Mus musculus: one gene and its partners. The protein of the gene in region 3 binds, or shares a complex with, the protein of the main gene of each other region. Each region holds a gene or a part of one and is shown on either strand. Other genes may lie near its edges. A codon is read from its position in the direction of its gene.

Region 1 (3,956 bases), about 38 Mb from region 3:
CAGGCCAACCTGAGCTACATAGGAAGACTGTCTCCAAAACCAAAAGCTGGGTCAGTACTGGTGGCACAGACCTGTTAATCTTAGCTACTCAAATAAGGTAGGAGGGTCACAAATTAAAGCCAGCCTCAGCAACTGAGCTAAAACCATGTTTAAAAAAAAAAAAAAAAGGCAGGGGGGGGTGGGGAGGGAAGAAGGAAGGAAATAAATGGAAGTTTACTAAACACAAATGTTAACTTCTAGTGCAATTCTCAGCAGCCAAGACAAAGTAGACATTCCTATATGTGCTGATCAGTGGTACACAGAACAGCACTTTGCTAATAATTTGTTTAGCAAAAGGGTACTTTCTCAAGGTAAACTGCAAACCATCTAAGAATGAATGACATTTAAATCCCAGTATGTTAAACCATAACATGAACTGAGTTAAATAACTTTGATAGTTCTTTCAATACTTGTTCAAAAAGTGAACTCAAAAACTGAAAATTTCACCATGCAAGGAGACAGAAGCCCCGAGTTCTTTTTAAAGCAAAAGAAAAGGGAACAACTTTGGAGCAACACACAGAACTCATATCTGACAAGACTAACATAGCTCTGAAGGAACTTCTCAAAACAAATGACAAGAGCACAGACTATCTGCATGAAAACACTGTCCTCCGTGACACTGTATGACCTGTAAGAATTGACCTGTTCTCACAGTTCAAAAGCTTGATAAGAATAAAGCAGCGTCACAGGGCTGGAGAGACAGCTCAACAGTTAAAAGCACTGACTGCTCTTATACAAGACATGGATTCAGTTCCCAGAACCCACACGGCAGCTCACACCTGCCTAGAATTCCATTTCCAGAGGATCCAAAAACCCTCTTGTGACTTCCACTGGAACTGAGTGTGCACATGATACACATATAAATACCGGCAAGACATTCAGATAAAAATATAAATAAATCTTCAAAAATGTTAAATAGAGCATCAATATAAAGTTTACAACTATTGAGAGACTTGACTTGCTTCAAGTTATAAACTTAGGTTTCGAGTCACCTGTGATCTCAAAGAAGTTATTCTCTTTTGCAGATGCAAAAACCTAGGCTGAGATAAAACGGGCTGGGGGGGTGTGATTCAACCACACTCACCTAACTTGAAATGTAGGAAATAACCAGTGAATTATTGTGAAATGTTTTTTATTCACGCATACTGGACTGCAGGAATACTTTAAGAACAGAATTAATGAAGCTATCATTACTTTGAAGATCCACAGGTTTCAAATCAAACGTCTGGCAAATACTCCAGGCAACGGTGGAAATGGATGCTTAAAATCTAACTAGTCTGAGAAAAGTCAACATAAGAAGTCAGCAGCGTTCATTACTATACAAACACCTGAGGGGTGCGGTCACTAAGAGACCATTCAGCTCGCTCTTCTGTTAACTAATCCCTATAGGAACCAAAAAAGTTATCTTCCTTTCTACCTACGTCAGATTATTATTCTCCAAGGGCAGCTTTCCATGCTCAAGCAAATATAACGCTAAAAGAAAAAAATAAATAAAAAGTATCAGTAAGTGCCCCAAAGCTCAGCTTTCAGAACAGAAAGAAATGCAGAAAGTTATTTTCACAGCTCCTTCGCACCCAAAGCCACTTGGCCTGCTTTAAACCCATTTGCTGCGGAAATACACCCTAGGGTGGTTCGACGGCTCTCCGACACCAAGCCCTAACTGGGAAGCAGAACCGACAGTTCCAGGCAATGAGGAAGAGCCTGAGAATTACTAGAAACCGACGTCCGCAGAACCGAGAGTTGGAGAGGAGAGTGAATAGTGCGGTCTCAGGTGAGTTCTTTAAAAGAAAAAGAGAAAGAAGAAGAAGGAAGAAGAAAAAAAAAAAAGCGAAAGTGTTTGGACCAGAAGTTAGTTGGAAGGTTAGAGGGAGGCGAGGCCGATGTCCGGCTTTCAGTGGACGGCACTGCAGGGACCAGGCAGAATTGCCCCTGCGTGGGAAATGCTCAGAGTTCTCAGATCTGACCCGAGTCCCCAACACAAGAACGCTGATACGTGGCTCCGAGAGGACACGCGGGGGTGGGGCCCGGCCCCGCTAAATCCTAAGCTCCCCGAACGGAGCGAGCTTTCAAAGGAGCCTCGCAGCCTGAGAAAGTCAATGGGTTCAAGGAGGCCTGCGGCGGCCAGACCACGCCAAGGGAAGAGGAAAGCGACCGCGCACGACAGCTCCGGCTCTGAAGCTCCCGAGGTCGGCCCTCAGGAAGTCCAAGCAAGCCCGGGGCTCCCGGGTCCCTCCTGACCCAAACCTGGGTCCTCCTCACCCCCCACCCCCCACAGGCTGAGCCCGGACCCCTGGGACTGACAGGAGGTTTCCGGCCAGACGCTCGCGGCTGCGGCAGAGCCCAAGAGCCGACCCGCCCTCGGTGCCGCGAGTGACACTCACCGGCCCGAAACCTCGAAGGAAACCAGCAGCTTCGGGGGCGGCGGCGGCAGTGGCAGCAGGAACCGAACATCCAAAATGGCGGCTCCCTCGGCCTCAGCACCGCGACTGCAGGCGGAGGGATCCCGGGCGAGGAGGGCGCCTCTACCTCACGCCTCGCGCTTCCCCGGGAGACGCCGCTCCCCGGCTCCCTCTCGCCGGCCGCCCCGCGTCCCTCCGACTGCAGCCCGTGCCGTCTCCCACCCCGGATGACCCGAGGACTCGGCCCCCGCCGAGGACTATTTGCCGAGGAGGAGGCGACTGCGCCGGGCAGAGCGACTCAAAGCGTAGCAAGGGTCGGGGCTGTCACTGATGACGCTCGACGCCGCTGCCGAGTCACCGCTGCGAGGAGTCTGAGCTAGCACGCTCCGGCCCGGCCCTGGAGCCGTCGCACTTTGGTTCCGTTCTGGGGGGAGGGGAAAACTGTGCAGCCAGGAAACGGTGGGGGTCACCTGAGGTGGGCGGAGCTCAGCGAGGGAGCTGGGGAAGGCGGAGAGGAGATGCAGGGGAAAGCGCATAGACATGGTGTGACCAGTTTTGTCCGAAAGGATTCCTAAGTGGTCCTCGTTGGCCAGAGGTTTCTGGTCAACATTAGAAACATGCTCCAAGTGGCTTTGGATTCTAGGGTTTTATGGTATCTTCAATTTTTTTTTTTTTTTTTTTTTTTTTTTTTTGCGAAAACAGGTAAAAAGATGAAACCTAAGAATGGATTCCAAGCACAGCACCACCGCCTTGTGCGGCAATCTCACCTACGATCCAGTCCCCTCCTGTGAGGGGAAAAAAGAATCTGGACAAATGTCAGCTAAAACTCTTCCAGAATAGCTTTTCCATCTATGATTGAATGAACTAATGACCTGAAGCAAAGAAAGTCTAACTAGACAGTTCCTGGCGTGATAAATAATTACTAACTTGTGACCCAAGTCTTTTCCATGTGAACCTAGAGATCCTTGATATCTTGGCCCATTTAAAGGAAAGGTGACCTACCTAGAATAAAATCTTTCCGATAGATTGACAACAAAGGTATCCCAGATGTGAATAAAACACAAGACTACACTGAATACCAAAGACCAGGAACTAAGCAAAAATCCTGAGTTTCAAATTTGAGTGTCATAAACAGGAAGTTGCATCTTTTAGACATTCGTTTTTCATGCAAGGATTTCAAAATACAGACGTTGAGCTGAGTAAGTCTAGCCATACAATTTTGACCTTGAATTTCTGGAGCATGCCAAGTGGCTGGAAAGAAAGGATACCAAGGGCACGATCAAATTTATTAAATATTGGTGTCATATTGATCATAAGGTACCATCGTATGTACAACCTAGCCCGCTAAGCAATCTCGTGAGTCAAAGTAAGTAACCAAAGTTTACAAATAATGAGATTTAAGACTTGAGAAAAACTACAACTGTCTCTCACAATGGAGTCTGCCTTAAGATGTCATCTTACACAGAAAATTCACCACACCCCATATACATATTCCAACCCATACCTACCGGTTTATAG
Region 2 (4,301 bases), on a different chromosome or scaffold from region 3:
ACATACAGCCCCAGACTCCCCCACTGTTCCTTGATACCTTCTTGAAAACCCCTGTCCTCGCTGTCAATGCTGGGTGTCCCCACAAGGAGGATCGTTTTTTTTTCCTGGGGGAAAGTCAAAGAATCTTATGCCTGTGATTTGGGTTCAAATACTGGCTCTACTAGCTCGAGTACAGCCTCAGGCAAATTAATGTATACTAGGCTAGCAAGATAGCTAAATCAGTTACCAAGCCCGATGACCCATGCTCAATACCCATGACCCACATTACAGGAGAGAACGGACTCCCACGAGCTGTCCTCTCTCCACGATCATAATGGAGCAAGCACCCACCCACACACATATGGTAAACTAAATGTAAAAACATTTTATTACACTTATTTGTGTGTGTGTGTGTATAGGTCAGAGGACAACTTTGGGGAGCTGGTTCTCTGCTTCTACTGTGTGAGCTCCAGGGATCAAATTCAGCTCGTCAGTCAGGCTCGGCCACAGGGGCCTTTACCCACTGAGCAGTCTGATTGGTTTTGAAAAGGATTAAGCAGTCTTTAAAGCTCCATTTCTTTATCCGCAGGATAGAAATAATACTTTCTTCTGGAGGTCTTTTAAGATTTGTTATTATCATTAAAGATTTACGTTATGTGTATGATATTTATGTGCCCACATGTATGTGTGACACATGCACGCCTGTTGAGTCCTCCGTAACCGGAGTTATAGATGGTTGTGAGCCACCATGTGGGTGATGGGAATCAGACTCAGGACCTCTGCAAGAGCAACGCATGCTCTTAACTACTGAGCCATCTCTCCAGCACATTTTTATTAGTTTTAATTCTGTGTATGTGCGCATGTGTCTACATAGTGGGTTTGTTCATTTATGAGGGTGCCTGACACACAGTAGGACTTGTAACATGCTAGGTGCTGCTATTTTCCCCTGACCTTCTGTTTCCTAACCCTGTTTTCCATGGAGAAGATGCCTAGCCTCATGATAAGCTGAGGCCAACAGACAACAGTTCTCTGTGTGTTCTTCTAGACGCCATGTCTCACAGACGCCCTACCCGATCCTGCCATAAACCTTCAGATGCCTCTGACTCAATATGGCCTCTCGTCAGTCCCATACCTGTCGATACTCTTCCCTGAGTAGTGTATATAAATAGAACTGTGCTTGGCAGAAATATTCAGATTTTACCCTCCATTTTTCTCCACCATCCACACATTTAGTTCCACATACTGCCTCTCTTCCCAGCTTTTTTTTTTTTTAGACAAGGTTTCTCTGTGTAGCCCTGGCTGTCCTGGAACTCACTTTGTAGACCAGGCTGGCCTCGAACTCAGAGATCTGCCTGCCTCTGCCTCCCTAGTCCTGGGATTAAAGGTGTGTGCCACCACGCTCGGCTTCCAGTTTCTTTAAAGCGTTCTTTTATATTCTTTTACACGTATGTGTGGGGCACCCACGTGCCATCACTTACATGCAGAGGTCAGAGGAGGAGTCAGTCCCCTCCTTCCACCACATGGCTCCTGGGAATGACCTCAGGTTATCAGCCACCCGGACAAGCTGAGCCGTCTCTCTGGCCCTCTTTTCTGTCTTTCTTTTGTGAGACAATGTTTCATGTAGCACAGGCTGATCTCAATTCCCTAAGTAGCGAAGGCTGCCCTTGGTTTTCTGATCTCCCTTTTTCTTACCTCTGAGTACCAGGTTACAGGTGTGCACTCTAAGGCCTGACCTTTCTTCTGAGACATCAGGTGACTGATCACTGGGTCCCTCAGACAGGGGCATAGTCACCCTGGAGGGCTCTCCTAGGGAATGTCTGTGGAATAACTAGCAAGCAGAGTCCTCACTGCTTCCCGCATGGCCCTAGTTTTATTACCAGTTGCAGAGGTTCCTCATTCCATATCCTGAACTCAATTCCCAGCAAACAGCTCTGAGAACATGGCCCGGGTTGGGATATCTGTGTGTGTCCCACACTTCCAGTTTAGCAGGTTAAGTTAAAAGAAAACAACACCCCAGAAGCTAGAAGTAAGTACTGTTGGTGGGGGGGATAGGGAAGGTGAAGAACTGAGGGAGTCCTGTGTAGTTAAGAAAAGGAGGTGACAGCTACAGCAGGAAGGCCTGGGTTCCGGAAAAGAAAATGCCCCGGAGAGGGTGGAGAGCTGGGATTGCCAAAGTAGGGAGTCTTCCAGAGCCTAGGTCCCCGACGGCAAACCCTAGAGCCCACCTGAGCCAGAACTCCGGGTGAGCTGTCAAGGAAGCGAGACAGGAGGTTCACTCCAGAGACCCGGAAACTGTTCCCTCCCACACCGAGCTCTCCATGGGCCATGCTCCAGTGTGGGCCTCAAGGGAAGGGGTTTCGGCGACCTGCAACCATCCCGAGTGACCCCGGCGCCCCAACCTCGTGCCTTCCCTGCGGCAGTGCCTGGGAGGGTCTTAAAGATTCCCAGAGTCCCGAGCGCTTCTCCAGGCTCGGGACAGTCCCGCCACCATTCAGCTCTAGTCCCCTCTCTCCTAACCAGCAAGACTCCTCCCAACCCCTGTCCCTAGTGCCATTTCCAGCTTCCGAGGTCAGCTCTCTCCAGCAGCTCCAGGAAGTGGATCCTTTGCGGACCACAGGGAAGACAGGGCGACTCCCACAAAGGGCAGCCCCCCTCCGGACCCCTGCAGGTACAGCCCACGCCCCTCGGGTCCCCGTCCCCTCCCTCTCCTCACAGCCTACCATCCTGCAGCCTCCAGCCCGGTGCGTCCCTCTCCGGCCACCGTAGAAGCCAGCTCCACTCCCAGTCGGATTCTTTTCTTTTCCCTCCCTCTCCGCTTGAAGCCCCGCCCCAAGGCCTCGCCGGCTCCAAGCACGGACGCATTGCGCAGGCGCCAACGCTGCAGCGACCCACCCCCATCTCATCCGGCGCGCAGGCGGGGCTGGAGGCGGAGAAGCGGAAACCATGGCAACCAGGTCCTTGACTTCAGTTTTGCAAAAGCCTGGTCGTCATGGTAACAGGGCTGTCTTGGTGGGTTGATTGGAGGATGGGAAGGGAGGGGGTAGAGGACAATGAGGACTTCGAGCTTTGGAGCATTTGTGGGGGAAAAAGGCGGGAAAAGGGTGAGAGGTGTATGCACGATCTTTGGAGCTGATGAAGAAGTTGGGAGGAATGATGTGGAAAACATCAGTCAGAGGGTGGTGATGGGCAGGATGAGGGAAATAGAGACCGGTAGGCTAGGAGAATAAAGAGTTCAAGGACAGCTCAGGGTTCCAGAGCAAGCAAGATCCTGTCCCCAAAGCAAACAAGGCAGGTGTGGTGGTGTATCCTGTGATCTCTACACTTGGAAGGCAGAGACAGGAGTTCAGCTGCAGCTACATGGCACGGTCTTGACCACCCAAGGCCACAGAGAGCCTGTCTCCAACAACAACAACAACAACAAAAGTGACACAAAACAGTGCAGATATGATGGTTCGGATTGTAAAGATGTTTCCCCAAACCCACAAGGTGGAAAGAAAGAACTGACTCCTGCAAATTGTCCTCTGACCTCTGTATAAGCAAGCACCCTAGCTTGTATACACCACACACACACACACACACACACACACATATATACACACACACACAGACAGACAGACATGGTCACAGGCAACACAAAATACACTTGTAAAATGTAATCTTAAAAAAAAACTAAACCAGGGATAAAAATCAGGGATAAAAAAATTGTTGAAAATGGGAATACTGTAACAGGAATATAAAGAATGGGAGGAAATTGTAAATTAAGGAGAAAGGGGAAGAAATGAAGAGAATCTTATAGTATTAAAGGGGTGTGGTGTAATCCCCATAGCCAGAAGGCTACAGCCAGCCTAGACTACACAGTGTGGCTCTGTCAAGCAAGCAAGAGTGGGATTCCAGAACTGGGTGTGGTGAGGCAAGTCACAATCCCAGCCCTGCAGAGGCTGAGGCAGGAAGAGCAAGAGGTCATGACCAGTTTTGGGGCTATGGAGGAATATGTGTGTGTGTGTGTGTGTGTGTGTGTGTGTGTGTGTGTGTGTGTGTGTGTGTACCAAACTGGATGTGCTGGTATACACCTATTATGTGATTATTTGGAAGGTACAAGCAGATGTACTAAGATCAAGAGTTCAAAATGACTCTTGACTACATAGCTAGTTCATTTTATGGACTGAGACACAATGTCAAAAAAAAAAATCGTTGAGCAACAAAACAATTTAGCCAGGCATTATTGTGCACATGCCTGTAATCTGGTCCCTGGGGAGGCAGAGGCAAGAGGACTGGTCAAGAGGGTTCAAGGCCAGACTAGGCTATGTAAAGAGAGCAGTGGG
Region 3 (3,509 bases):
TGGGCAGGGATGGCGTCTACAGGGTGGTGGGTGGCCAGTCATGAGGCACCAGGAGCACAGCTCCAGCTGGCTTGTCCCTGGGGGAGGCTGGCAGGCCCTTCCTTCCCACCCTGGATCAGAATGGGACCAGGGAAGGGGTTCTGTGTGAGTCCACTCAGGCTTGAGGAGAGGGTGGCTGCATGTCCAGGGCCACCCTCTAGCTTCAGTTTTGGTGAGTGTGGCAGGTGTGCCCTGAGGCTAGGTGGGCTGGGCTGGTGGCAGAGGCCTCTCACTGGGTCCGGAGCTGATAATCTAAAAACAGAACATTCACCTTCAGCTCCACACAGACACCCAGGGCACCCACCCTCAGCTCCATACAGACACCCAGGGCACCCACCCTCAGCTCCACACAGACACCCAGAGCACCCACCCTCAGCTCCACATGGTCACCCAGGGCACCCACCCTCAGCTCCACATGGTCACCCAGGGCACCCACCCTCAGCTCCACACAGACACCCAGGGCACCCACCCTCAGCTCCACACAGACACCCAGGGCACCCACCCTCAGCTCCACACAGACACCCAGGGCACCCACCCTCAGCTCCACACAGACACCCAGAGCACCCACCCTCAGCTCCACATGGTCACCCAGGGCACCCACCCTCAGCTCCACATGGTCACCCAGGGCACCCACCCTCAGCTCCACATGGTCACCCAGGGCACTCACCCTCAGATCCACACAGACACCCAGGGCACTCACCCTCAGCTCCACACAGACACCCAGAGCACCCACCCTCAGCTCCACATAGGAAGATACAGTCTAGAAAGACCTCTGTAGGTCCTGCCAGTCAGGCAGCCACTTACCTCCGTTCTGTGTGATATATCGTACCCAGGGCAGGGCCTGGTACCCACTCTTCTCAATGATTTTCAGGTAGCGCACCTGGACACAAGGACCTTGAGTGTGCTGCACCCCCACCAGCACCCCTCATCCAAAAGGCAAGGCCAAGGGGGCAGGCCTGACATTGTATGAGGGGCTGTCAGAGGCAGCCAAGACCCAGGCTTGGTAACCTTGAGCCTTTCAGGGGAATAATATGCTCCCCTCATCCACACAGTTTGAGGGGCTCCAAGGAAATAGGCCCTATGTCAGGATGGGGGTTTGGAGGTTCTGTTGTGACTTTGGGCTCAAGTGTGGGGTTCAGGCAGTCAGACCTAACACATTCATACCTGGATGCCAGAGGTAGTGAAATAGGGGATCTCAAACTTGACGCTGATGGGGGGCTTTCCCTCCTTGTCTTCAGCTTCCACACTGGGAAGGCCAAAGTGGGCCCGCATCAGGTACTCCTTGCCACCCTGGGGGCCGATGTAGGAGGTAGTTAGGTGGCTGCCCAGCCCACAACCAATGTGCTGTCTCTCAGGCTAGCTCATGGCTCCCAGGAGCCAAAGCAGGACAGACAGGGTGTGAAGTGGCTTTACCAGCTCCTAGGGAGACGGATAGGTGGCTGTGGAGCCAGACTGTCCAGACAGGTCCACAAGGAAAGCACGGGAGCACACTGGGGAGAGTGGTGGGTCCTCCTGCACAGCCCCAAGGGGACTGTGAACAGGGAGAGGGAGGACACTGAAGTGTGGGCAGGTGCAGGTTTCCAGGAGTCCAGCAATAACTTGGAGGTGGTGTGAGAGTGGGACCAGTCAGGTAGCTGAGACACTTGCCCTGCTCTGGCCAGGTAGCACATCAGGCCTGGGCTTGGCTGTCCCCTCTGTCTGGCACCCCAACTCTGTTATACCCACGACACGTGGCCTTTGGTTTCCTGAGCTCACACTTAGGGGCAGCAGGAGTGGCTGTGACTAGGACCATGCTTAGGAGCTGGGGTGCAGCAGGACAGAGCTTCCATAGCCTAACTCCCCTTTATCAGCTCCCATCCATAAAGGATGCCATGACATCTGCATGGGAGCTGGAGCAAACAGCCTTCTGACTCCTGGTGCCTAACAACAAAGTAAGGGGAAATGGAAAGAGAAGACCTGCTCACAGGAAACACAAGAGTAAGCAGGGCCTAGCAATCTCAGCATTCAGGGCAGGAGGAAGGTGGCAAGTTTAAGGCCAGCCTGGGATACAAGAGTTTGAGGTCACTCTGGGCTACAGAATGAGTTGCAGACCACTGACACTATCCAGGGAGACCCTGTTTCAAACAAAGTCACTACAAAATAAAAATACAAAACAACTTCTATGTGAAAACAGAAGTTGTAGAAAATGGTGTTGCATGTTACACTGTAGGTTTCATGGGTACAGATTTAGGGTGGAGCTGGAAGAAATGTTTATCTGCATCAACACTAATGTAAAAATTACCAGTGAGTGGACTGAACTTAAAGGAGGGAGTGTGACTGGGCTGGGGACTGGGTCAGTGGCTGCAGTATTGCTTTGGGTGCACAGTCACAAATCAAAGACCAAGGAAACATGAGGACAGATACCAGAGCACGCCTCTAACCATAGCACTGGGGAGGCAGAGGCAGGTGGATCTCTGTGAGTTTGAGGCCAGCCTGGTCTAAACAGTGCTACATAGTAAGACCCAACCTCAAAGACAAAGACAAAAATGTGATGGACAAGAATCCAGAACTGTTAAGCACCTCTGGCAGGAATGACACTGTGCCACTGCTACACAAAACACCAAGGCAGAGCCTCAAACAATTCTAACAATTCTAATGGCAAATCATTCTCTTGTGGGTGTATGCCTGAGAACAGGAAGCAGGGTATGGAGGAGAGCCCTGTGCACTAATATCCACTGCAGCATAACTTGGGTGCACCAAGAGTGCCTATCAGTGAAAAAGGAAGGGGCATGGTGTGGAGTACTACCTGGCCTTAAAAAGGACTGCAGCAATATGTAGGACACTGATGAGCTTTGCCACTGTGCCATGTGACAAAAGGCTGGGAAAGTGCAATAGTGGTCACCAGGGCCAGGCAGCATCTACCCTGAGTTTGGCCATCCTTCCCACCTATAATCCCCAACTCTGGGAGGCCCTTAAGTCAGTGTGGACAGTAGGAGAGTCTACCATGCTTGGGGTACCTTGGGATCATCTCCAGTACACAGAAAGGGTAGAAAGATGAAGGCAGCCCTGGCTCTCACTATTTCTTCTCTGGTGAGGACAAAGATAAGGGTGGAGGTGCACCAGGGAATCCTACTGTATGCGGTCCTCTGCGCACTGTGGCTGTGCTGCAGCACCAAGTGAAAGCTCTCCTGGGATGGATCTATAGCCAGCTCTCCCCTAGTCCTGTAGGGTACAGAGAGGGGCTGCAGTGTTCCTGGGACCAGGATGCCACTAAGCAGGACTGCCCCTCACTGAAAGGAAACACCTTTCCCAAGGTGGCACAGGGATGGGTCTTGGGAAGATATTTTGGGGTACCTGGCAAATATGGGGCTCACCGGAAAGGACTTGACGGACCACACGATCTCACTGTTTTCAGGGACCCACTTGACACTCCCCACTGTAGTCTTGAACTTGGGTGAATCAGCATCGTTGGGGACTGGTATATGGATCTC

The links. The genes of interacting proteins can lie anywhere in the genome.
Region 1: the proteins of Ap1m1 (region 3) and Ap1g1 are in contact, whole or in part, in a cryo-EM structure (PDB 7R4H), measured with the Mus musculus proteins. Residues at the interface, in NP_031482.1 of Mus musculus: Ser289, Asn318 (codon at 3,488), Asp319 (codon at 3,485), Ala320 (codon at 3,482), Asp321 (codon at 3,479), Ser322 (codon at 3,476), Trp334 (codon at 3,440), Pro336 (codon at 3,434), Glu337 (codon at 3,431), Asn338 (codon at 3,428), Ser339 (codon at 3,425), Gly361 (codon at 1,296), Leu362 (codon at 1,293), Pro363 (codon at 1,290), Ser364 (codon at 1,287), Val365 (codon at 1,284), Glu366 (codon at 1,281), Ala367 (codon at 1,278), Glu368 (codon at 1,275); in NP_001288140.1 of Mus musculus: Arg24, Glu25, Gln28, Lys29, Ala32, Arg35, Ser36, Arg39, Glu40, His64, Phe65, Gln67, Leu68, Gln97, Val99.
Region 2: the proteins of Ap1m1 (region 3) and Ap1s1 are in contact, whole or in part, in a crystal structure (PDB 1W63), measured with the Mus musculus proteins. Residues at the interface, in NP_031482.1 of Mus musculus: Lys12, Glu31, Asn186, Asn188, Val189, Leu190, Glu232, Glu234, Asn270, His272, Arg421 (codon at 280); in NP_031483.1 of Mus musculus: Lys26, Lys30, Arg33, Glu34, Gln37, Lys43, Glu51, Trp52, Arg53, Asp54.

Annotation. Positions count from the first base shown.
Region 1 is NC_000074.6:109,777,427-109,781,382, reverse strand, and holds the start of Ap1g1 (AP-1 complex subunit gamma-1), read right to left. Parts: upstream 2,801-3,956; 5' UTR 2,421-2,800; intron 1-2,420. UniProt on the Homo sapiens protein: Subunit of clathrin-associated adaptor protein complex 1 that plays a role in protein sorting in the late-Golgi/trans-Golgi network (TGN) and/or endosomes.
Region 2 is NC_000071.6:137,043,309-137,047,609, forward strand, and holds the start of Ap1s1 (AP-1 complex subunit sigma-1A), read right to left. Parts: upstream 2,801-4,301; 5' UTR 2,703-2,800; coding exon 2,700-2,702; intron 2,593-2,699; exon of another isoform or gene 1,729-2,592; coding exon of another isoform or gene 1,672-1,728; intron 1-1,671. UniProt on the Homo sapiens protein: Subunit of clathrin-associated adaptor protein complex 1 that plays a role in protein sorting in the late-Golgi/trans-Golgi network (TGN) and/or endosomes.
Region 3 is NC_000074.6:72,253,517-72,257,025, reverse strand, and holds part of Ap1m1 (AP-1 complex subunit mu-1), read right to left. Parts: coding exon 3,393-3,509; intron 1,330-3,392; coding exon 1,204-1,329; intron 920-1,203; coding exon 844-919; intron 292-843; coding exon 269-291; 3' UTR 1-268. UniProt on the Homo sapiens protein: Subunit of clathrin-associated adaptor protein complex 1 that plays a role in protein sorting in the trans-Golgi network (TGN) and endosomes.